Drosophila melanogaster: one gene and its partner. The protein of the gene in region 1 purifies or fractionates together with the protein of each later gene. This does not show direct contact. Each region holds a gene or a part of one and is shown in the gene's direction. Other genes may lie near its edges.

Evidence for each region.
Region 2: the proteins of wcy (region 1) and Bre1 purify together in Drosophila melanogaster (affinity purification with mass spectrometry, with the first as the bait; one large-scale study listed by BioGRID). This does not show direct contact.

Annotation. Positions count from the first base shown.
Region 1 is NC_004354.4:17,067,438-17,079,923, reverse strand, and holds wcy (wacky), read left to right. Parts: upstream 1-4,267; 5' UTR 4,268-4,925; coding exon 4,926-5,129; intron 5,130-6,312; coding exon 6,313-6,661; intron 6,662-6,726; coding exon 6,727-6,978; intron 6,979-7,059; coding exon 7,060-7,134; intron 7,135-7,199; coding exon 7,200-7,275; intron 7,276-7,384; coding exon 7,385-7,470; intron 7,471-7,535; coding exon 7,536-7,631; intron 7,632-7,690; coding exon 7,691-8,106; intron 8,107-8,175; coding exon 8,176-8,414; intron 8,415-8,476; coding exon 8,477-8,937; intron 8,938-9,008; coding exon 9,009-9,178; coding exon of another isoform or gene 9,179-9,190; intron 9,191-9,295; coding exon 9,296-9,423; intron 9,424-9,492; coding exon 9,493-9,571; coding exon of another isoform or gene 9,572-9,649; 3' UTR 9,650-10,906; downstream 10,907-12,486. Other genes in the region: CG4949 (uncharacterized protein), read right to left, coding at 338-856, 916-990; CG43077 (uncharacterized protein), read left to right, coding at 11,467-11,553, 11,620-11,793, 11,948-12,486. UniProt on the Drosophila melanogaster protein: Acts as a linker between gene transcription and histone H2B monoubiquitination at 'Lys-118'. Regulates the cell-cycle checkpoint activation in response to DNA damage. Positive regulator of amino acid starvation-induced autophagy.
Region 2 is NT_037436.4:5,784,511-5,796,046, reverse strand, and holds Bre1 (Bre1), read left to right. Parts: upstream 1-1,854; 5' UTR 1,855-1,991; intron 1,992-2,194; 5' UTR 2,195-2,201; coding exon 2,202-3,347; intron 3,348-3,461; coding exon 3,462-4,351; intron 4,352-4,403; coding exon 4,404-5,502; 3' UTR 5,503-6,216; downstream 6,217-11,536. Other genes in the region: Tektin-C (tektin C), read left to right, coding at 1-498, 904-1,483. UniProt on the Drosophila melanogaster protein: E3 ubiquitin-protein ligase that mediates monoubiquitination of 'Lys-117' of histone H2B. H2B 'Lys-117' ubiquitination gives a specific tag for epigenetic transcriptional activation and is also prerequisite for histone H3 'Lys-4' and 'Lys-79' methylation.

The DNA of each region.
Region 1 (12,486 bases):
GCCTTGCCTTTTATAAATTCATTTTCTTAAATATTCGACCGTTCCCCATTTGGATATCTTTTGGGAAGGCAATATGAATAGCTTTAAGTCAATAAAATGGAAATGCAGTCTTAATAACTCGAAATTCGTTCGAGATTGGAAAATTCGTTCCAGCTTTGAAAATATTCGTCTAACCTGACAAAATGCATGTTTTAATAATGCATAAGGTAAACGTTCTAAGTAAGTATTGTTTGAAAAGCAAGAGCATACGGCGAATAACTACAATACTGCCAGCTATGATTAAACTCAGGAACTGGTTACCAAGGCACTGTAGTGGCTCCAAACTTCTGTCCTTCGTCTAGGCGAATCTCTGGGAGACCATGATCTTGGCCGAGAGCTTGGCAAAATTCGTGTGGCACTCGTTGCCGTGGAAATAGAGTCCAATAAGCAGCTTGAACTGGGCTGCTGACATGGGATACGGTTCCTGCGACATGACCACAATGGTGTCGATGCTTTTGCCCGCCTTCTGTTCCGCCAGATTGGCCAGGATTTCGCGGTAATTCACAAAGGATGCGGAGCACTTGGCAATTTGCCGGACCATTTTGTTCGTGGAGCACTGCTGCATCACAGGACGCAGTAGTGCATCCAAAACGAGCGACTGCAGATCAAAGACTATCAAATCGGGACTGCGCAAGGATTCGGCGCTATCCTGCATTTCCAGCATGCGAAGCGGGGTGCTCTCCACATCCACCAGTTGCAGAATGGTCAGGTATTTGCTGCAGTTATGGGCCTCCCATGGATAGCGCTTTGCCATTCCCTGCTGGCGACTGGTGATCAGTAAGACGCGCTTTTCTTTGGTGGCAAAGCGTTCGCATAGCTAAAAGAAATGCAATTTGATGTTCAAAAACCGACCTGAATCCGATGTTCAGAACTTACCTTTGCCAAATTAAGGGCGTAATCCTCACTGCCCGTCAAATATATATAGTTATTGTTGCAGTCGCTCAAACTCATTCCTTAAAAATGCTTACAAATTAAACAATATATATTTAAGGAATTCTAAAATTCTTCTGCCGCTATTATCGGTATCGGGATGAGTTTTTAATAGAGGTGCCGAAACATCGATGCTAATATCGATGCACCGAGGTTTTTTTTTAAATATTCCAAACATCGATGCTTATTTCAGACTATCGATGTTTTTAGGTTAATCACTAGAATTTCTTCAACTATTTTAATTAATTCAAATAATTAATTACTTTCAAATATTAGCTTGCAGTCATATATATTTTGGGTTTGTGGTGAAACTGACGCAAGTCGATGGACAACTTCGTCGGAGTCGGAAAGGGCATTTAGCAAAGCAGGTCAAATAATTATTATTACCAGTTATACCACCTTAAGATCTTGCATATGAAAAGAAATCTCATTGTTTTTCAGTTTGAATTATCATTCTTTGTTCTTTTGTTTTATATTAAATTAAAAAATTATTGAATTTAATAATATGCAAATGCTTTTTCTTATTTCTCAAGTGTAAATATGTATATATAATTTTTTTTAAAAAACATATAATTTTTAAGTCGGCTTATCGAGAAACAATACATCCGATAGGAATACCCTTGAGCAGTGTGCCCGAAATGATTATGCGATACTATCGAAATGATGTTGTGCAATATATGATAAATTAATATAAACTATCTATATCTAAAACTATTTCAGTATCATCGAAAGTTTATAAAGATCAGCTATTGCGTATATACATAATATGTACAATAACAAAAGTCAAATTAAAAGTTAAAAGTTAAAAGTTATGTTTTTATATATATATTTATTATTTAACAGTAACCAAAAAAGAATTTAAATGCGAACCTAGTTGGCATCCCCGGCTACAGAGTGACCATTTTGCAATCCGTCCAACGCCTAGCGGTGTCAGGCACTAAAAAATACCACAAACGGGGCGCCACCTAGAGTCCACCATATCAACCAGCCAATTGGCACATATAGCCGAACTCTTCTCGCACCCGCATAGCGTGCCGCGCGAGAGGGATAGCCGCACGCAGCGACCGATTGCTGGCAAACTCAACACAGCCGTGCCGACGAACAGACCGCACAAAGCGTAATGCAAAAGAATTGAAAAAAATCATCAAGTATAGAGGCCAAAAAGCGAACACAGCAAGTCGGCATATAATTAAACAATTGTCGTTCAATGCTGAGCAAATAAATGCGGCGATTGCAGCCCAGCAAAGAAGGCGAGCGGCAAATTGCGAATTGCGGTAAGGTACCAAGAAAAAAAGGGAGTAAAATTGAAAAGAAGTCAAACGAAATACGGATCAAGCGACACCACACACACATGCACAGACGCACGCACACAGTCACTCACGGTCGTGCACGCAGAGGCGAATGCCGTGTGTGCTTTAAGTGAAAAATTAAAGGCGTTCCGAATGCTAATTGCATTAAGGAGAGGACAAAAAGGAAGCTGTCTAAAGGATTGCTATGAATGTTTGTACTTTTAGGAGGCAGCAAAATAAGCCGATAATAAGGCGACCGCAATTCAGGCACACATATACGCCACACAAACACCGAGTCAGCGGGCCACACAGACGAAAAGCACACACACACACATGCCACTGAGAGCCTCCCATACAAGCAGACCACAACACACACACACACACATACAAGCGAGCGTGCCTTGGCAGGTGAGAAGAAGAAGAGGAAGCGGTGGAGGCAAAAGGAGGAGCAAACAGGAGGCGCCAAAGGCCCCAGAATATTGGATAAAATCGGAATAAGGCTGCATTATCTTCTCCACGAGAAGAGGAAGCAGCAGCAGCACTACCAGCAACAGCAGTCGACGAAGGAGAAGAGGAAGCAGACGCATAAGCAGCAGCAGCAGCAGCAGCAGCGGAAGAAGCAGCAGCAGGAGGAGGAGCAGGAGAGAGAGGGAAAACCAACAGAAGCAGCAGCAGCGTATTTGGCGAAAAACTTGCATTGATGGTAATGCATGCTAGAAAACCGCAGCGTATGAACGATGGGTAATATATCAAATATTATTTTCAATCTACCGTAATATCGGCAATAACAGTGATTCCCAACGTACTCACAATCACACACACACAGGCAAACTAGCACACTCATAATTGTATATTTTTTTGTTTACGTTCTGTCCTACTGCCATCTCGCTCTAACTCGCAGTGCCCGCGTTTCCTTTTTATCCTCAAATTTTCTCCGTTTACCCTAATTAAGTGATTTTCGTAAATAAATTTGTTTTCCCTATGTTTCTTGCTTTGATTTTCCCACTTATCCATCTTCTCGCGCTATTCATGTTTTTCGTCTTTTCACCACACAATAGTTGCCTCTCGCTCGCACGCGCTCAGCTGGCAAAAGGCCAAAAAAAAAAAAATAGTTCTTGTAACATTTACAGTTGCTTATTGCACCGCAAAATTAGTTCATATCCATTGTTTATCAAACGCGTTTCGCTGTTTGTTTATTTACCATCGCTTTTTAGCCGGCTTTCGATTGTCCGTTAAACGCAGAGCAACTAAAATTAATGACTGTCAACAAATCAATGCCGGCAATTGATAAGCGCTTCTGTTGATAAAATAAAGCTCAATCGGAATTGGGAAATCGATTTACAATTGGCATTTATTTAGTGGGTTTAATATTTAAATTTGATTTTCTAACACAAACAAAGGGATTTAAAATAGAGAATTTGACAAAAATCGATTCAGGTCAGTGCGTTTAAAAGTGCGTTGTAAATAAGCTGAAATAGCTGGTTAACTTCGAAATATGCACTTTGTCATGTCATAAACATTGTTGTGTTTCCTTCAAACACTTGAATATTTTCCCTTAAATCATTACATATTTAGAGCGAGTATAGCAGAACTAAACCAACTAAGTGTGTCTTATATACCCAACTTCATTTGAAAGGAAACTAATGAACTCTTCATCTTGCCCCACCGTTTTCCAGGTACTTTGAGAAGCATACCAGTCACACATCATACCAGGTAAGCAGACCGATCCGAAAATTCTCCTCGAACACCGCAATTAATCACATTTACATGCCAGCTTTTAGTGGACATTTTTAATTTTGTAGTTTAGCTCATTAGCCCGTAGTGCACCCAAAGCCACAAAAAAAAGAATGTAAAAGCCAATGTAAATCGTATTTTTATCGAACCGTCGATTTCCCTAGTGTCATTTGCTGATATTTTGGTAAAGAGAAAAATTAACAAAATTTGCAAATTGTATAGCCTGGATTTTGGATTATTTTTGGTTCATATTTCTCCTTCTTTGTCAATCGCTGTCTTTGTTGTGCATCCCAGATCTTACGTTCCCGTAACCTCATCCATTTTTGAACTGACCGAATCGTGTTTCATTTTAACCCATTCAAAAACGCGGCATTGCAGCCTGAACTGATCTTAACTTGAGAAACGAATCTGTACGCATCACTGCTAAAAAAAAAAAACAAACAAAAAACAAACCCAATCCGAATTCGATCATTTAATCAATTACAACATCTAACCGAACAGCACCAACAAATGTTTTAAATCGAATGATATATATGGTTAAAAGTATACAAATTTATCAAACTATATTAATTAGAAATCGAATGCATAACCAATTTCTAAACTCTGCCTAAGGAATAGGAACCTAATCAAATTAAAATAGCCTTAAAAACGACGTAGTAAACAATTATACACCAATATTAAAAATAACATGAATGTGCGGAACGGAAGAACAAACCAATTTCCAAATTGTCTAACGAAATAATCAACGACAACAACAAAAACACAAATGTGCCTCATACATAAAGCAACAACAATCAATTAAGACACCAACAAATAACTAATGCAAAACAAATAGGAAATAAACCAAAGCCAAATAAAGTGTGCCCTCGAAAACAAGCGACCAATTGGACTTTTAATTCAAATTAAAACCAAATACACTTCAATTAATTATCTATGAGGAGCAACAAAAACTCCTACGGCAGCAGCAACAACAACAGCAACAACATGGCTGTTGATCTCTCCCTTTCGACAACAACAATTGCCAATTGCAACAGCAACATTAGCAACCACAATAACAACAATAACAAAAACAGCGCATCAGCAGCGACGCTGGCAGCGAATTCAACGCCTTCAGCAGTGGGTCTCTGTCGCCTAGAAGTAAGTAACCCAAAGATCCCAGAAAATAATGGTTAAAAACAATAGTAAAATATAAAAACGCAAATAAAGTGATCAAAAACCAATAAAGTGCCACGAACATCGTGCTGTGCGCAGGAAAAGCAATCCTGATAAGGAATAAACAAAAAACATTCAAATTAAGGAACAAATAAAATTACTTAATAATGAATAATAAAAATCAAAAGAAGGCAACAGAACATGAAACATGCAGCAGGAATAAATCTTCCATCCAAACTCGTATATTTTAAACAAAAATCTGACTAAAACGACACACAAATCGCCGCTAATAAAAAACATCAACAAATTATGATTTACATACCAAACACCCAAAGAGTTATTATTCTATATCTCTTAAACAATGAAACACCACTCAATTATGAAGGATTCTTTATTAATTATTATAAAATTTTTTGATAAACACAAGATTGGAATTTTATGGATGATCCCAAAATTTACGATGGACAACAAACAAGGATTTTAATTTTGATTAATATTAAACTGGACAATTAGATTTTCAGTTTGGATAACCTGAAGACAACGACCAATATGAACCAAAAACGAAAGTATCACTTAAAAAAATCCTAAATAATTAGTTTCAATTAATATATAATTTACTCAGGAGACGATAAACCAAAACACACACCAAACACACGACACATTTCAAAATTCTTCTCGATTACACATTTGATTTCTCAAACCATCGGGAGTTTCATTTCACCCAACTTTCTTTTTGTATCCTTTCGTTTCCATTGGCAATAATCACAAGCGAGAAAATTGGCAAAAGTAGCTGGCATTATGCATTAACTTATGATTTTCCTATTGAGTAGATTTAGTTCAACTAACCAACCACCCAACTTCAAAAGTTACAACTAAACCGAGACTTAAATCAACCGCTATTAAGAATGCAATACTAAATATACCAGTGGGTTGGTACTATCCAAGAGATTCAGTAAGGATTTCCTAAATTAATCCCATTTGTTGGAACACGAAAAACTCATATATTGGCTACATTACTTGATGTACTGATTATATTGACCACATCTTGAATCCTTACTGCGATTTCTTAGAGAGTACTCGACAAACATTGTATTTTGTAGCACTGTGCAATTGATTTTGGGAATGTAAATCGACTAAAAACTGTGTGCGCTTTTATTTACCCGTGCAGAGCTCAAAGTACAGCAGTTCAAAGCGCGACTACGAACGCGATCGTTCCTCCAATTATCGCGATCGTGACCTGTCGCCAGGCGCTGGCGGTGGAGGAGGCGGCGGATCCGCTGGAGGAGGTGGCGGCGGTAGCGGAAATGGCGGCGGACCATTGAACAATGGCAACAGCTACCGCTCCCAGTCGCCGGACATTGATTCGCCGTCGTCCCGTTCGCACGATCTGCGCGACCGCAGCGATCATCGGGGCGGAGGTGGCGGCAATGGGCGTGGCGGCAGTGGCGAGCGGTACAGCTTTATGCAGAAGATGCGAGATCGAGATCGGGATGTCTACAAGAAGGATAAATATTCAGGTGAGTTAGCGCAGCTGCAAGTTGGAGTTGTATACCATAACAATACATTATTCTATTCTTCATAGATAAACGTGATCGGCGTGGCAACGATCGCGATTCGGAGTCGTCGTATCGCACCAACCATGATAGGGATCGTCGTGGCGGAGGAGGCAGCGGAGGCGGCAGCGGCAAGCTCTGCTCCTCGCGGGAGAACGACAAACGATCCGGGTCCGACGATCGCGATCGAGATCGGGATCGAGATCTGCGCGACTTGCGCGACAAGCGGGACCGCGGTTCCGATCGCGACAGGGACATGTACAAGAAGGACAAGTACGCAGGTAGGTCCAAGCGCCCATTTACCCCACATCTCCCCTTATTTACTAAACATACTCTGTGGCTTTTGTTTTTTTTTTTGTTAGACAAACGAGAGCGCAGCGATCGCGGCGAACGGACGGCGCGTTATGGCGACTGGAGCGAGCATGTCAGCTCATCAGGTGAGTCCCCCCATGACAGCTTATTCTTCTCCAGGCTCCAAACTATAATATTGGATTGCTTTCAGGCAAAATGTATTATTACAACTGCAAGACGGAAATCTCTCAGTGGGAGAAGCCAAAGGAATGGGTGGACAGAGAAAGGTAAAGGCAATGGCATTATAATATGACCAGCAAAGATCTTGGGAAGAATCTGTAATAAGAGCACCCTAGTCCTTGGTTAAATAGTCATTAATGTGTTATATGGTTACAGAAATTTGCCGCGCGATCAGCATCGTGAGAAGGATTATCGTGACAAGGATCGCGATCGCGACCGCGATGATCGTTTCTCCAGATCAAGTGAGTTAAGAACCTGCTTCAGAAATTTCAAATATGATATTCAAAACATGTGTTTTTCTTTGCAGCATACAAACATTCCAATTCTTCGCGGGACAATTCACGACTGAGATGGAATTACGACAACGATGGCGGTCCGCCCAGTCATCGAAGGCGTTTGGATGGTGAGCATAAAGCAGGTTGCGTAGGATCTAGTTAATTGATTTTAAAATCCTACCGACAGGTCGACACAACGACAATGCTGACATGGATATAAGCGGCGACTCGACGCCTACCTCGGAAGCCAGTTACTCGCTAAGCGGCACGCCCACCACACACGGCGGCGGTCCGGGCGGAGGCGGTCCCGGAGGCGGCGGCGGTAGCAACAGCGATCAGCCAATGGGCAATGCCCTGCCTCGTTTGTCCTCCCACCCAACTGCCAACTCCTCCGCATCCGTGGCGACGGGCACAGGTGCGACGGGGGGACTGCACTACGGCAGCGGAACGGGCGGTGGCCCGGTGACGGGCGCCACAATGCTGCCCACCATGTCGGGAATGCTGAACAGCAACAGCAGCAACAGTGCCGGCGGCAGCAGCAGCAATGCCAGCAGCAGCAGTCTGAGGAACTCCGTTGTCGGTCACATTGGCTCCACATCTGGCGTAAGTTTGGCTTGTTTGATAGCCTTAAGCTTTGGCTTTATTCTTATTTATATGCATTATGCATTGCAGACGACTGTGCCCACACTGGGAAGTCAGGATCCGCACCAGCATCATCTGAACTCGAATGCTCCACTGCCACCGGGTGCCAAGGGCAAGGATCAGGCGCTGCTGATGCGCCAGAAGATGCACCTGGGCCTGGGCGTCCTCGATGTACAATCACATCACGGCGTTAACTCGGTTGGTTCGGTGTCAGATGGGACCAATCACGCCTACAATTCGGTCAATAACTCGGTCTCCGGCAGCTTACGGTAAGCTATTGAAGGCATGTTGCAAGATCATCAACTAAACTTCATGGATATCAATATTGCAGGGACAACAGCGTAAACTCGCCGTTGTATATGCACCACAGCATGTCGCCCTCGTTGAACTTCACCAAGAGTCCCATACCGACGATTGTGGGCCACACGAACAACATGAGCATCGCCTACACCTGCAATCCACCCTTTGGCCTCAAGGCTACCCTCGATGGCGGAGTGATGGTGGCGAATGCCTCACCGGCCACGCCCGGTGGCAACGCCTCCTCCGGCTCCAGTGGAGCGAATAGCAGCCAAAGCATCGTGCCCGGCATGGGCCCCGTCTGCGGAATCAGTGTGATCACCTCGATGGGCAGCAACAGCGGCACGCTATGCGAAGGACCGCCTACGCCCACCCAGGAGCTGGATTTGAGCGGCTCGGCGTTGGAGCAGCAACAGTTGGCCGCCGCAGCGGCAGCCGCGACAGCGTCAAGCCTCCAGCTACAGGCGGCGCAACAGGCCCAGCAGCAGCGGAAATGTATGTATTCAAAATTCTAGTGTGTTCCGAGTTTAAAATATATGACAATGTTTGCCCATTTGTTATTCCAGTGGATGGGACGTCGTCGGCCACGCTGAGCTCACTGCAGAGCTGCGTGAGTTCCTCAGGACAGGCGGCAAACCTACGTGGTCCCGAGATTTCGCCAAAGCTGGCCAAATACTTCCGCGCCGATCTGATCGCGCATGTGACCAATTGGCACGCGGAGGTGCTGGAGCGTCAGGTAAGCTGTGAGGTAGGATTTGCCTGCGAATAAGGCACTAACCCGACCTCTGTACATACGTATACATATATCCATGGACTCGAACTGATTGTAAATGTTTTCCATTGTTTCTCGAAGGCGCAGAAGTGCTGTGAGGATACGCACCTGTTTGGCGACATAACGTGCACGAGGATATGCGCGGAATTGAAGTGCGCCCGCAGCCTGGTGCGAAGCACCGAAATCAATGCCACCCTGCAGGAACAAAAGTGAGTGTTGCAATGACATCTAAATGGTAGTTGTTCTAACCAATGCATTTTATGTATTGCCTTTCGCAGAATTATGTATTTACGCCACCAGATCCGCCGTATCGAGGAGTCGAAGACTCAGAACGCGTTCATGTCAGACGATACTTAGGATCAGGAGCAGGTTAGGCTGCGCGTACATCGCAAGCTGTCTGTTAGGCTCAAAAAGAGCTTCTTCTGGCGCAGCTGATGATGATTGCGATGATGATTGGTCGATTGTGGCCGCCGTCAGCAGCTTGTCCTCGTTTAGCAGGCCCGGATCCAACCCTATTTATTGAGGGCATCTGGAAATGGCTTAGATGATGACGACGACTGGCGGTGGCCCACGACAATGACTGAGAAACCGCGTGCATCCTGCTCCATCCTCTTACTTCTCTCCTCTGGGCGACGCATCTCTCCCCACCACCACAACCAGCCCGCGATTCACTTGTGTTCGGATCGAGTTCCAGTCCCCAACCGACTATATAGTGGCAGTATGTAACTGGCTGAGCGGACTGCATGGACTTGGCACAGGACAAATCAGGATAAATCAACCAACAGCTGCAACAAGAACTTCAACAAGAAACACAAAAACTAAAACATAATTTATAATTAGCAAAGCGTAAATTAAAAGCAAAAATAAACTAAAATAAGCATTGCATTAAGCAAGACGGAGGAAAAGCCAGAGAAATAGCCACAAATAAAATACAACACCATTCAAGATAACTACAAAAGAAGAATACAGCCAACAGCCGACCTATCAAGATCAAGAAGCAATATGGATAAAGCCTCGTATCGAATCGAATCGAAAGAAACAAAACAAAACAAAAGGATAAACAAACGAAATAGGATCAACAACACCAGCAAAGCAACAACACCAACAAAAAACAAGTCAACATAGTATACTCAACTGCAATAAAAAGCTAATTAAACTATATACAAATTATATATAAACAAATATATATAAATAGAGTATATGAAAGAGTGTATATTTACATCCACCTAACATAAATACGGAGGATAAATCATGATGATAAAATGATTACGATGACAACCAAAATGCGAGTCAAGTCGAACCGAATGCACGCTTCTCGGGACGAGGAAATCGACAATTTTATATATATATATTTATTTGTATATATATTATTTATAGGTTTGGCAGCCACCACACTTCCCACATTTATTTTTACAGTGCGATCGAAATGTTTGTTTAATCTGCTGATCATCGGCTTGGTATCCTGCTAATTGGTGCAGAATTTATATCTTGTTTTGTAGTTATTTACCGATTACAATTCATGTTTTTTATTTTAAAACTATAAGCATAAAAATTTATATTTACAACACACCATATTCTTTAACCTCCGATTCAAATTGCAGATAGATTTGTTTTAGTTTAGTTTTTTTTTGTATGCACTACATTAATGTCTTTATGATATATGATCGTATATATATATATATATTTTATTATATATGCATATATTATTTATTTGGCAAAAGCTACAATTTTATTGTTACATAAGCGTAGCGAAGCGAAAGCAGACACGAGGGAGAAGGGCGGGGAAAGAAGAACTAACAATTGTAATTTTGAGTTTTTTTTTTTTAAATCTTAACTTGACAAACCAACAAACAAAAGGAATGGATCTGCGAATTGCGCAGATTCGAAACAAAAATAAAGCAAACAGTTTAATAATGATAATGCTAATAACTATTGTAGATATACATATAAATAATATATAAAAAATATATTAGCTAAGCGTCGAAAACAAAACAAAAAAAAAAAAAAAACAACCGAAAAATAGAAACTTTTATTATGAATTAATTAAAAAATACAACAACAAGAAAATAATGGTTACTATGGTTATTTCAATGGGGAGTTTTGTCTATCCAAGTAGGCGTTTCATTTCCTGATTCCCATTTCACACGCTGTGTCACAGGAAAGCATCAGTTCCAATCGTGCTCCCGTAAACGAAAGTCATACGAAAAAATCTCTAACAACATAATAATATTTTTGATTTTCGATTCTGAACAATGAATAAAATGGAAGAAAACTTCTACAATGGATGCACTTGTTGCCATTGCTCTTGCCGCCGCTCTTGCTCTTGCTCGTCTTTAAAAGTGAGTCCCGGCGAATAGTGCCTCGTTTCTGGTTTATAATGATTCAACTATTCAATTATAATGTAGCGATGCAATTCCGCTGAATCGTGTCGCTTACTTATTCAGAAAAGTTCGAAATATATATACGATGGCGTTAGATGCTCAGATCTCAGATGTCCATACTGCAACGAAGCGCTTGGACAGAAAATCCTTTTATCGCACTCGGCGGAGTCCACTGCTCGAACGCCACAACAAACGCGGGTAAATAAGCAATAATTCGTTTATTCCAAAGTATGTACATATGTATGTATGTACATGCCGCGAATTCTTCATTAATCGCTATTATCATTTGACATTTTGTGATCAAAAATTAAATATCCCATCATTGATTATTCATTCATAATTACGACCTTAGATTTCCGACATACAGTTTAGTCATTCGGATAAAGGACGAAAAAGTTACAGTAAAATGAAATCGATGTCCGGATTTGAAGAGCCTAAAGATCAAGTTCAATATAAGAAGAGAGAGTCTAGCATATCAACACCATTCAGTTGCTATAGGGAGGATTCGCCAAGGTCCTCGTCCAGAGTTAAGTCTACCGGAAAGTACAGTTGCAACTGCTTCACAAAGGAACAGCCAAGAAAGTATGTTTCAAAGACTGCCGAAGAAATCAGAAGGACGGTTCGAGCGGAGATTGCAGAGATGGAGCAAAAGCAGGCAATGGCAGACAAAAATGGATGTGATTTTACTTTTTGCAAGCCACCGCAGAGTGGACGATTGTCATCTAATGAAGAAACCAAGAGTAAATCTAAAGATGAAGAGATTTTTACGGAGTCCGAGAAATTGATACTTAGCAAAATTGATTGGCGTACTACTGCCACCAATGATTTGTCTAATTCCGAGGTAATTTATTCGACGATAAAGCGCTTGCTGCGCGTATGTCTGAACAACAA
Region 2 (11,536 bases), on another chromosome or scaffold:
GGTGGACGAAACGAAGGACACCACAAAGAACTGGCAACGGGAGGTGGAGCACCATATGCGCGAACGGACGAGCGAAATCCGATTCCTGGTGGACGAGTTGAATCGCCAGAAGAAGACCGCCGCCCTGGAGGATGAGGCCTTGAACACCTATCGCAATCGCGTGCTGAACTGCATCGAGTTCCTGAAGGACAAGTCGCTGGCCATTTGCAAGCAGTGCCTGATCCTACGCGAAGGTCGGATCGGTGTGGATTTGTGCGACGACGAGGTGGATCGCTCGCTGCGCCGTGAGCTCAAGGTGATCAAGGGCTGTCAGGGATTGGCCGATGCCGCCCTCAAGGAAGCCGAGGAGCAGATCCGCAAGCTGCGCGCCGCCATCTATTTGCTCGATCAGGATCTGGCCGCCAAGGATAAGTCACTGGCCATCGACGAGAAGAACCTGAAGCTCAAGGAGTTCCAGCACGACCTGGCTAAGGGACAGGATTTGTCCAAACAGCATTGGTAGGTTTTTGAAAACTAGGTTGCATGTCAATCACACATGTTGGGGTTTCCTTTTTAAGGAATGATGAAGTGGATTGATTATTAATCTTTTTTCTTTCACTTTTATGCGTAAGTCATTTCGGTGTTCATCAGTACAAGGAGTTTAAAAGGATAAACATTTTACTAGAGTCTTATCCACAAATTCCATTACAAAGTCAAGTAGTTGTTCCCCTTTTCAGTTAGGAATGGAATTGAGGAAGGTCAAACCTAACAATGAAACCGCAGTTTCCTTGGTGATATGGGATAGAGTTGTCCTGAGTCTATTTTAGTGCATTGGAATTAAGTGATTTATTTACAACCACTCAAATCGACCTGATAGTTGCCATGACTCCACCATGCCTTTACCCCCTTCTCTTCCTTACCCAGCCAATTTTCGCTGACCGAGTGGCAGGCGCAGACGTACGAGAATCTGGAGGCCAACGCCAAGGCGCTGGTGTCCGCCGGGCAGCTGCGGGCCTACATCGATTTGCTGCTGAAGCAGGTGTGCGAGGATATGCAGAACCAGACGGACAGGACCAACGAGGCCTTTGAGCGAAGGATCTCGGAGACGAAGCACGTGAAACAGTGTTTGGAGAACAAGCACAAGGACACCATGGATCACATCCATCAGGTGCAGCGCAACATGACCGAGCTGGAGAAGGAGATGATGGACAAGCAGCGGGCCATTACACTGTGCCAGACGCGGCTCAGCAATCGCGCCCATCGTCCTGGCCTGGAGCTGACCTGCGACATGGTCCAGGATGCGCTTTACAACGAACTGCAGGCGCTGAAGGCATCCGTATGCAAGCTCAATCAGAAGCTGAACGAGAACAAGGCATCCATGCGCTACCTGATGCACGTCCAGGTGATGCAGGAGGAGGAGATCAACATCAAGGCGAACACCTGCAAGATCGACGAGGTCGACTGCATGACCCTGCGACAGGCCCTGAAGTACCAAACATTTTAGTCGGGCAGCACTACATCCAGTACAGCACCAGTCCAGTAGTCGCCACACAGCCCAGCCACCAATAATCAAATTAAAATCTAATTATTAGATGCATGTGCATTTCGTGTTCGATCCCAAATTACTTAATAAATTGAAATTCACTTTCGATTTCCAGTTACCAAAACTATGGCTTTTTAATGCATTTTTAAATTGTTCATTTTATTCGAAATAGTTAATCATATATTTCTTTTGCTTAATTTTCGTGAATTTAAATTTCCCGCTTTGAATCTAGTATTTTTAGTTTTACCTGCCTCTATTCGATATTTACCGCTAAGCACAGACATATAGTTATCGATAACGTGAACGCAAATGCGAGGGAGTATTGCAAATAGTGTTACCGTGCTGCTGTGAAAATTCCCAGGTGTGACCGCAGCCCGCATTCGATATTGATGAAGCCAGGCAAAACGTAGAAAAGCAAAAGAAAACCTTAATTAATGTTAAGTTAAAAGTGTATAAACCCGAGATTAAGGTAAGTGGCCCACCACCATCTAGATTTTGAGTACACCGAAGGCATGGCGATGTTGGCAGTGGCGGGAGCGTTACGCCTCTACCGCCACCGCCTCCGCCGCACACGATAAAAAATGGAGTACAGCCACGAATGGGCAAATCAATAATTTTCAACACTCCAATTGTTTTTACAACTGAAATCAGTCCTAATCTTGTTTTCCGCAGTGCAAGGATGTCGAAACGGAGCGCCGACGACGCCACCGGCAGCAGCTGCTTGGTGGCCGCCGCAGCCGCCGGCCAGCCGCCCATCAAGAAGGTGCACTTCGAGCCCCATCTGATTGGGCCGGTGTCCACGCTGGAGGAGATGGACATCAAGGTGCTGGAATTCCAGAACAAGAAGCTAGCACAGCGCATCGAACAGCGGATGCGAACGGAGGCGGAGCTGCGACATCGAATCGAGCAGCTGGAAAAGCGGCAAACGCAGGACGACGCCGTTCTAAACGTGGTCAATCGGTATTGGAATCAGCTGAACGAGGACATACGAGTCCTGCTGCAGCGCTTCGATGCCGAGACGGCCGACGAACTGGAGAACCGGAATGAGAACGAGGTGACCACCTCGTTTCTCGCCCAACTGTCCACCTGGGACAAGGAGGAGCTGGACGAGAAGCTGGCCAACCGCGTCCAAGTGTCCAAAAGGGCGGTCGCCAAGATCGTACAGGTTATTGATAGGTTAATGCAACGCAATGAAAAGATAACTCATGTCTTGAAAGGTGATAGTCTGGCTTCAGCTGGCTCCGGTTCAGGAGCGGGAGCTGGCGGCGAGGAGGAGCAGCAGCAGGCCAGCGGCGATGCGGAGACCACAACGTCATCGGCCGGTGTCCATGCGCTAGAGGAAACCCTGAAGCAAACGCACATCGAGATCATGAGCGAAAATCACAAGCTGCAGAATCTGAATACCTCGCTGCACGAGAAGTTCCACACCATGTCGCTGAAGATGAAGGAGTACCAGGACGCTCATACCGCCAAGGAGACGGAGAACGCCGAACTGAAGAACCAGATAGACGAACTGCAATATGACCTAGAGAAGATCCATTGCCGGAATGATAAGCTGGAGAACCACTTGGCCGAGGCTATTGAAAAGCTGAAGGCCTACCACCAGATTTACGGTGATCCCAATAAGAGCACTAATAGTGCCAAGACACCAACTACCACAGGCAGCGGCGGCGCCACCACCAGCGTTAATAGCCAGCTATTGGAGGAGCTGCAAAAGGAGCTGGAGGAGTACCGCGAACTGGCCAACAACCGACTGCAGGAGCTGGATAAGCTTCACGCCACGCATCGCGAAACCCTGAAGGAGGTGGAGAAGCTTAAAATGGATGTAAGTTTTGAATGAATAATGTATTAGCTTATCTGGAGCATTGCTAATTATAGTTAGTCATTTCGTTTATATTTTCTTTGTATTATACTGATTCATCCTTAAAATCCATTCCAGATACGACAGTTGCCGGAATCGGTAATTGTGGAAACCACGGAGTACAAGTGCCTGCAGAGCCAGTTTTCCGTGCTCTACAACGAGTCCATGCAGATAAAGACCATGCTGGACGAGACCCGAAACCAGCTTCAAACGAGCAAGAACCAGCATCTGCGACAAATCGAAGTGATGGAGAGCGAGGAACTTATTGCCCAGAAGAAGGTGCGCAGCGAGATGATCCAGATGGAGGACGTTTTAGCCCTCATCCGAAAGGAGTACGAAACGCTACGCATTGAGTTCGAGCAGAACATGGCAGCCAACGAGCAGACGGCACCCATCAATCGCGAGATGCGCCACCTGATCACCTCTCTACAAAACCACAATGGCCAACTGAAGGGTGAGGTGCAGCGCTACAAGCGAAAGTACAAGGACACGTCCACGGACAACTTGAAGCTGCGTCAGGAGCTGGCCGATGCACTAGCTACACTCGAAGGCAACAAGTTGCAGGCGGCGACTGGTGCGGCTGGCGAAGAAATCAAGCAGGAGAACTCAACAGGTGTGAAGGAGGAGAACTCCAACAACGTTTCCGCCAGTGGACAAACAAACCAAACAAATTCCGGCAACGATACCAACGTAGCCATCAAGGAGGAGAACCATATCTCGGCTGAAGATGAAGCTGATGACGAGGCCAGTGGTAAGGACGTAAAAGACGGCATCAAGCAGGAGAAGCTCAGTTCTGGAGACGCGGCGGCAGCTGAGAAGAAGGATTCCCCTGGACCCGGAAACTCAACAAGTTCTGCGACCAATTCTGTTCCCGTCAAAAACGAAAAGGATTCCAAGGATGGTGTCAAGGGCAAGGATGTGAAGGCAGTGGAAAGTGAAACGGTGCGCGATCTGAAGGCGCAACTAAAGTAAGTTTGTTCAGCAATTACGATTATCTATTTAACATTGTTTGATTTACAGAAAAGCACTGAACGACCAGAAAGAAATGAAACTCCTGCTGGATATGTACAAAGGCGTATCGAAGGATCAGCGCGACAAGGTCCAGTTGATGGCCACCGAAAAGAAACTGCGCTCCGAGATCGAGGAGCTCCGCCAGCAGCTGAAGAAGCTGCAGGAAAGCAAGCGCGAGGAACGCAAGAAGCTGGCCGACGAGGAGGCGTTACGTAAGATTAAGCAATTGGAGGAGCAGAAGTACGAGCTGCAAAAACAGATGGCCAACCACAAGCCAACGGATAATTCTTGGGGCAGTGGAGCCCCCGGCACAGCGAACTACACGCGACCGTTTGTTGGTTCCCACGAAGAGGAGGCACTGCTGAACGAGATGGAGGTTACCGGCCAGGCGTTCGAGGACATGCAGGAGCAGAACTCCCGGCTCATACAACAGCTGCGTGAGAAGGACGATGCGAACTTTAAGCTAATGTCGGAGCGCATCAAGGCCAACCAGCTGCACAAACTTCTGAGAGAGGAAAAGACGGTGCTGGAGGATCAGATGGCAACGGCGACCACGCAAATCGAAGCCATGCACATTGTGCTGCGAAAGCTGGAGGAGAAGGAACGCAGCCTGCAGGCCACCGTCGCGTCGATTGAGAAAGAGTTGATGCTGCGGCAGCAAGCAATGGAGATGCACAAACGCAAGGCGATTGAATCGGCGCAATCGGCAGCGGACCTCAAGCTGCATCTGGAAAAGTATCACGCGCAAATGAAGGAGGCGCAGCAAGTGGTGGCGGAGAAGACCAGTTCGCTGGAGGCGGAGGCCTACAAGACCAAGCGGCTGCAGGAGGAGCTGGCGCAGTTTAAACGCAAGGCGGAGCGCATGAAGAAGATGGAAATGTCGGGCACCACCATCGACGAGGTGATGATTGAGGAGATCCGCGAATACAAAGAAACGCTCACGTGTCCCTCGTGCAAGGTGAAGCGGAAGGATGCTGTCCTGTCAAAGTGTTTCCACGTCTTCTGCTACGACTGCCTGCGCACTAGATATGAAACGCGGCAGCGGAAGTGTCCCAAATGCAACTGCGCCTTCGGCGCCAACGATTATCATAGGCTATATCTGCAGTAGATAAGCGATAATTTAGATACGTTCCGGTCATGTCCTATTCATACACAAATCCACCCACGCCACACACCACTACCGCACACCCAGCATTCATGCCGGATTATTATTCATTATGCATATATTACCTACGTACTAATATTTGGTTAAGTAGTCTCCGAATAACTTTCCCCCACCAGATTTCCCATGGCAATTATTTGAATTCGTTCATTCTGGCGCCAAGCAAAAGCATCTCATTATGAGTGCCGCGAGATCGTGACGCGGTTTTTATGTAGCTTCTAGTTTTTGTAAATCAAACTATTTTTAAATGATTTCATTTGAAAACTAAATGTACGAACACTAATAAATGGCTAAAACCTATTGTTTAGCATGCCCCGAGTTATTTAGATACCCCATATATACATAAGTGTAGGTTCTTTGTCTTGCATTCAGTTAGCATTATATTAAGCGTATTCTAATCTTAAGTTAAATACTCCTATTGTAATGATCAAACGTAGCATAGATATCAAATGTATAAACTTGGCGGAGAATCCGTTTAAAAGTCGCGCTTTGCTTTGAAGGGCTGCTAACTTGGTTATAATTGATAAGTAATTGTAATAATGTATGATCGAAAATTGTTGTTCAGCTGAACAAAACGAGTTTTGATTGCTTTTTTGTTTGTGTGTAAATGTGTTCGTTCTTTATGTGTACTGTTTAACGAATAAAGAAACTAATGATCAGAAATCGTGACTTTCAATCAATGTTATCTCTCTACATGAAATCCACCTGTTAGAGCTGTTAGCACCCACGCACTCATGTTAATAACATCGATGCTTATCTGAAACCTGTAACCATTGGCGCGCAACAGGTTATCGGGGTTTAAAACGCTATGCTGGTATTTTGTTCTCTACAGAAAGTAGGAAAGTGGCCATAACTATAATTTTATGTATAAACAGTTTGATCATATTCTAAATTTCTATTTTATGGCACAAGAACATAAAACGAATGGTTAATTTAACTCAACTGGTATAAATTGGTAATTATCATTGCATATTTTCTATTTATAAATATTTAATTGCGTCCAACTGGACCAAAGTCTTTTGAGCAATTGTCTTAATTTTAATTTGCATCACACTTTTGCAGGCAAATCTAGTTTAAGTTAGCCGTGTTAGGTTCCAATTGGCCAGAACAGCCCAGTTGGCCAGGCCATTCCCCAGTAATTATGCTACCTAGTATTTATTACAATGGCTCAAGAGCAACGACATTGTCTTGTGCAATTATAATTAACAGCTGACGCAATTCGGCGACCAAAAGTGAGCCAAGAATTTATTTACCTTTGGCAAGTGGTCAAGTGGGCTCGTGGTAACTGCGCCAGTATCAACAAAGTGTGTATTGCGTATTGGCCAAATAAGCCCCCTCATCGATGCCCTAAAAAGACTTTGATGATAAATTATTGTTCTGTAAATCACCAAAAATGATATGCAAATTTTTGTACGAAATCAAACGTCTGCCATTTTCGGCGGATCAAGAAAGACTTGAAGATTTCAAGACCCGAAAATAGCCAGCAGCCAGAAAGAGAATGTATGGATAGGATAGATAATGTGCGTGTATGCTGGAGCTTGATTCATTTTCGAAACCATAATAAAGCCCTGCCGCTGATTTTCTTCGCTGTTAATTATGGCTAAGACCAAAATCACAAAAGCACCGTAAAATCTTGTGGGCAGTGAGACTTGTTTGTTTGCACGGCCGAATATTTCGAAAAAAAAGGTTTCAAAAAATTTACCCCATCCAGCAGTTCCAGATGTACCTCCCCCCTCGATTCACAGAAATTGCAAATTGTTTCGTCCGCTTTGCGCCATGTAATGTGTTTATTAAAAATTATTATTATTATTGTTCGCATCGAGAGGTGGCGGCATCTTTATGAGCGGACTACCTGCCAGCTACCAGCTGATGTGGAGCAATTGGACGGGTTGTTGGGGCATCTGCGCCGTAAACTCGTTATGCGGCAAGCCAGGCTACAAAAAAAAAACAAAAATGTTAAATAAATGAGGCAAAATGAAACGAAAGCGAAAAAATAAATGTAAAAAGAGTGAGAAATCAAAATCGTGCCAGCGATGAGTGAGCAACATTACACCGAGCACTTGGCAAAGCGAGTGCGTTTATTACCAACATAACGAATCCGTTTAAGATCGGCCTGTGCCGGTGGAGCGCTGGAGTAGGTCAATCCGTGCTGGTCAGGGACAATGGCGAAGGTTATCACTGGAAGCGGGGAATAACCGAGTCGCAAGACTACAGGAGATTAGCACACGGAAGTATACCAAAGAATGTAACCACTTTGGGTTACTACAATTGTTTGTATTAAGAGATTTATTTATTTGTTTAGAATACTTGGAAGAAGGTTAATTATATTCAAATTTAATATACAATAACTTAAAAGTCAATGAGCTCAAGTCATTAAACCACAGCTTCAGTTCATGAGTAACTACATTAAAACTTGCAGATGAGATTTATACAGATTTTAGTTAGCATTGAATATTATAATCCTAGATACAAAACTTCATGCGTGGGTCACCTTTACACTAAACCCAATGGCCATAAGCTCTTAATCCACATAGCCAAATGCTAATGAAATGGAGTTTTTCACTTAACCACCAAGGTTGCGAAGGGAAATCTTTCTCAAGCGGCCTTCTCTCTGCTATCAACGAAACGAAATTGTCATTGAATCAAGGCTCATAACAAGATCAACATTAATTATCATCGAACAAAGGCATTTTCACACTGCAGTCTAATGATTGTTTAGCACTCAGGGCGTGCCATCCCATCCATCGATTCATCCAATCAACTCGCCCACGGGCGAACGGAAACTAATCATTATATTAGCATGCTGATGATCGCAGCTCAATGAATCCCCCCATGCATTTGTGGACCTACGCCCTTCGGGTTGGGAAATGCCGAAATGCCAACGCTACTCAGATGTCCCAATGTTCGAATGTCCAAATGTCCAAATGTTCACTGGTCCAAGCCCACGTCATGGCCGTGGGTCCACAAAGAGTCCGAAATAGCCGAAAGGGCCAACGCATTTCCCCAGTCGTAAACTGCAGTCGCAATTCCAACTGGCACTGAAACTGAAACTGGAACTTGAGAGCTGGAGAGCTGGATAAACATCGCCATATCATCCGATCGCCAGATGACGTATACGCCGGGTGGTCATTAGGTGTTTGGACCATTAGCAATGGCGACAGCATCATTACGAATGGGGTATTGCCATTTCAAGGTTGGCCACCATTCTCGCTTCACTGCCACCTCAAGTCGAGCCATGAAAATGCAAATTTTGAAAATGCAAACGTTTCTGAACAAACCTAATGAATGAAATGATGGGCGTGCAAATGGGCAGGGAGTACAGCTATGGATTCACAAAGGTTTAACTGTGAAGTAAAGTTAAAAATGAACAGCTAGCGAACCTGATCCACAGCCACTGGTGGTGGCCAAGCGTCCAAGTGAGCAAGTGACTAACTGCCCAACTGACATTGCCTAACAACAAGCAGCTCTTTAATACTTTATGGCTGCCTTTGATGGCTGGGATCAGGCTCTATCCCACAAAAAAAAAAAACATGTGGCCAAAAGGTTCGTGTACTTCGTACTTTCAGTTTCGGCTGGCCAAAAACTTGTTCCCTCCATCTCCATCTCCATCTCCAGCTTCAACTCAATCTCCATGCAGCCGCAGCAGCAGCATTTACCCAGCGAACAAACCGATCAGATTGCATTCGACACTCGGCTCAGTGGGCTATACATAATGTTCGGCTGTAGTGGTGGCATGGCCATTATATAATCCAGTTAATTTCTTTAACAATTTTTGTTTCTCCTCGGGCTTTTTCGTTGTTTTTCTAGACGAGGCCTCTCCAGCCAGCGTCATTCGTTGTTTGGACCTCGCGTTGTTCGGACGTACATACATTTCGATCGGCGCGTCGTCTCACGAAGATCGTTTGGCCTAGCTAAATCCCAACGAGGTGCTCATATACAAGTAGAGGCCAGAGAACCCGTATCAAGGATTGCGAAACGGGCGTTTGGCATTGCTCATACGCAGCGTGTGACGTGCTTGAAAACAACGATCAAAGGAATCGAAAAAAAAGGAGTGTAAGTGCCAATGTGTGTGTGTGTGTTTGTGATAATTTCGAGAGCAACTGAAAGGATGTAGCCAAAACTGAAACGAAAAGGATATATGAACAGGATAGCATACAAGGATTAATCAAATTACTTACAGCATTTCATTCAACATTTTCAATCATTTTCATAGCAAAACAATATGGAAAAAAAAGAAAAGATTATAACCACATGTTATAGGATAATAATCTGGACTAATAACCAAACGAACCGCCCTCCTCCATTCGCAAAGTTTGTTTTTTTTTTTTAATTTTAAGCTTTTCATGCGCAATTCAATCAAAAAGCAATCAAAATGTATCAAAATGTATCAAAATCCAATTAACCCTTTTGATCAAAAATGGATTTGCAATTGTGTGCTGGCTTTGAAAAACCAAACATGATTAGCCTGAAACCTTTTCGAAAATCAATCAACGCGGAGAATAAAGGAGCCTGTGGAATAACAATTACCAAATAAGCCACGATTGCACCGCCTGTTGCATTATTGGCCTGTTCAGTTGGCCACACAAAAGCCACGCAAGCCACAACGAGCTCCTAATAAACATGTTGAAACTTGTGGAAGAGCGGGAGAGTGAGAGAGAGAGAGACAGGGGTAGCTGGCGGACGAAAGAGATGGCAAGCGGGATCCAACGGGCGCATTGCCCAATGACATTTTGAAATCGCATTTCCGGGGGGAGCGGGGGGAAAACCGACAAAACGAAAATTGAAAAGCCGACAAAAGGAAAAAAAAAGCTAAACAAAAAATAAGCAAAATCGAATGCAAATTTTGGACCAAAATCGAATCAATTAAATGGCACAGAGTTCGCAACATTCGAACCCAAGAGATATGTATGTATATATGTACATATGTATGTACATATGCAAATGGGTCGAAGTCATGGGAAAACGGATTTCGATCTCGATTATCTGGCTGGGGGATTCAAAGTGCGCAGACAAAGGGCCATAAAACAATCAAATCCATCCGCAGCTCGGATCACAAATTGTGTGCAAATATTGATATAAATCCATGTTTGCACTTTGTTTATCTGCAAAAGTCAAACAGTGGCATTGTTTCGGTCGCTTTCCACATACTTTTCTTTGCTTTCCACGCTCTTTATTGTTATGCAATGAATGATGCTCGGATGCTCAAACAGTGAAACTCTTTCTGGTACTGGCTAATTACGAACATACAGACATACATACATACATATATTTCTTTTTGACCCGCTTTCAGTAAACAGTTTTGAACTTGAACCAATTCGCCTGGTTTCTTTTTCAGTCTTTTTGCCATCCATACATGTTTTATATGCGACCATAATGGCATTTGGTGGTCGCTTTATGGTTCCCCTAACAACAAAGAAGTGAATAAATTATAAGTTTTTTTTTTTATTTCGTCGCTTTCGCAGCTCTGTTTTAACAAAAACGCGTCTCATACGCGAGTTTTAATTAGCAAATATTTGCAAATTACAACGATCCGTGATCCGGTGGCGTTCGCCTTGAGATCACTGGGACCTTGAACCAATTTCAATGGGAAGACCACTAATAAATCTCATTGATAAATACATATATGCAGAATTATTAAACAATAAGTTTCGTCGTTTGCCTAGTGAGTTTTTTTGTTTTGATTAAAGCAAAGGCTTCAAACTTGATATTCGTCACTTTTTATAAAGAAGTTGGAGCCTAACTTGGTTGTAGATTCAGTATATTGAAGCTTTCTATGTAAGTCAAGATGAAAAGTTGTTCTTATTTAATTTAATTATATATTTTACAAGTATGTAAGTAAGTAAATTCAATCTCTTTAAGAACATATACATATATATAGTATAAATATTAATCATACAATGTGGATTTGAGAAAAAACCCGACTAATCCGTGGACTTCTTATCATTCTTTGTAGTGACCGCAGTCCATGCCAATCGCGTGA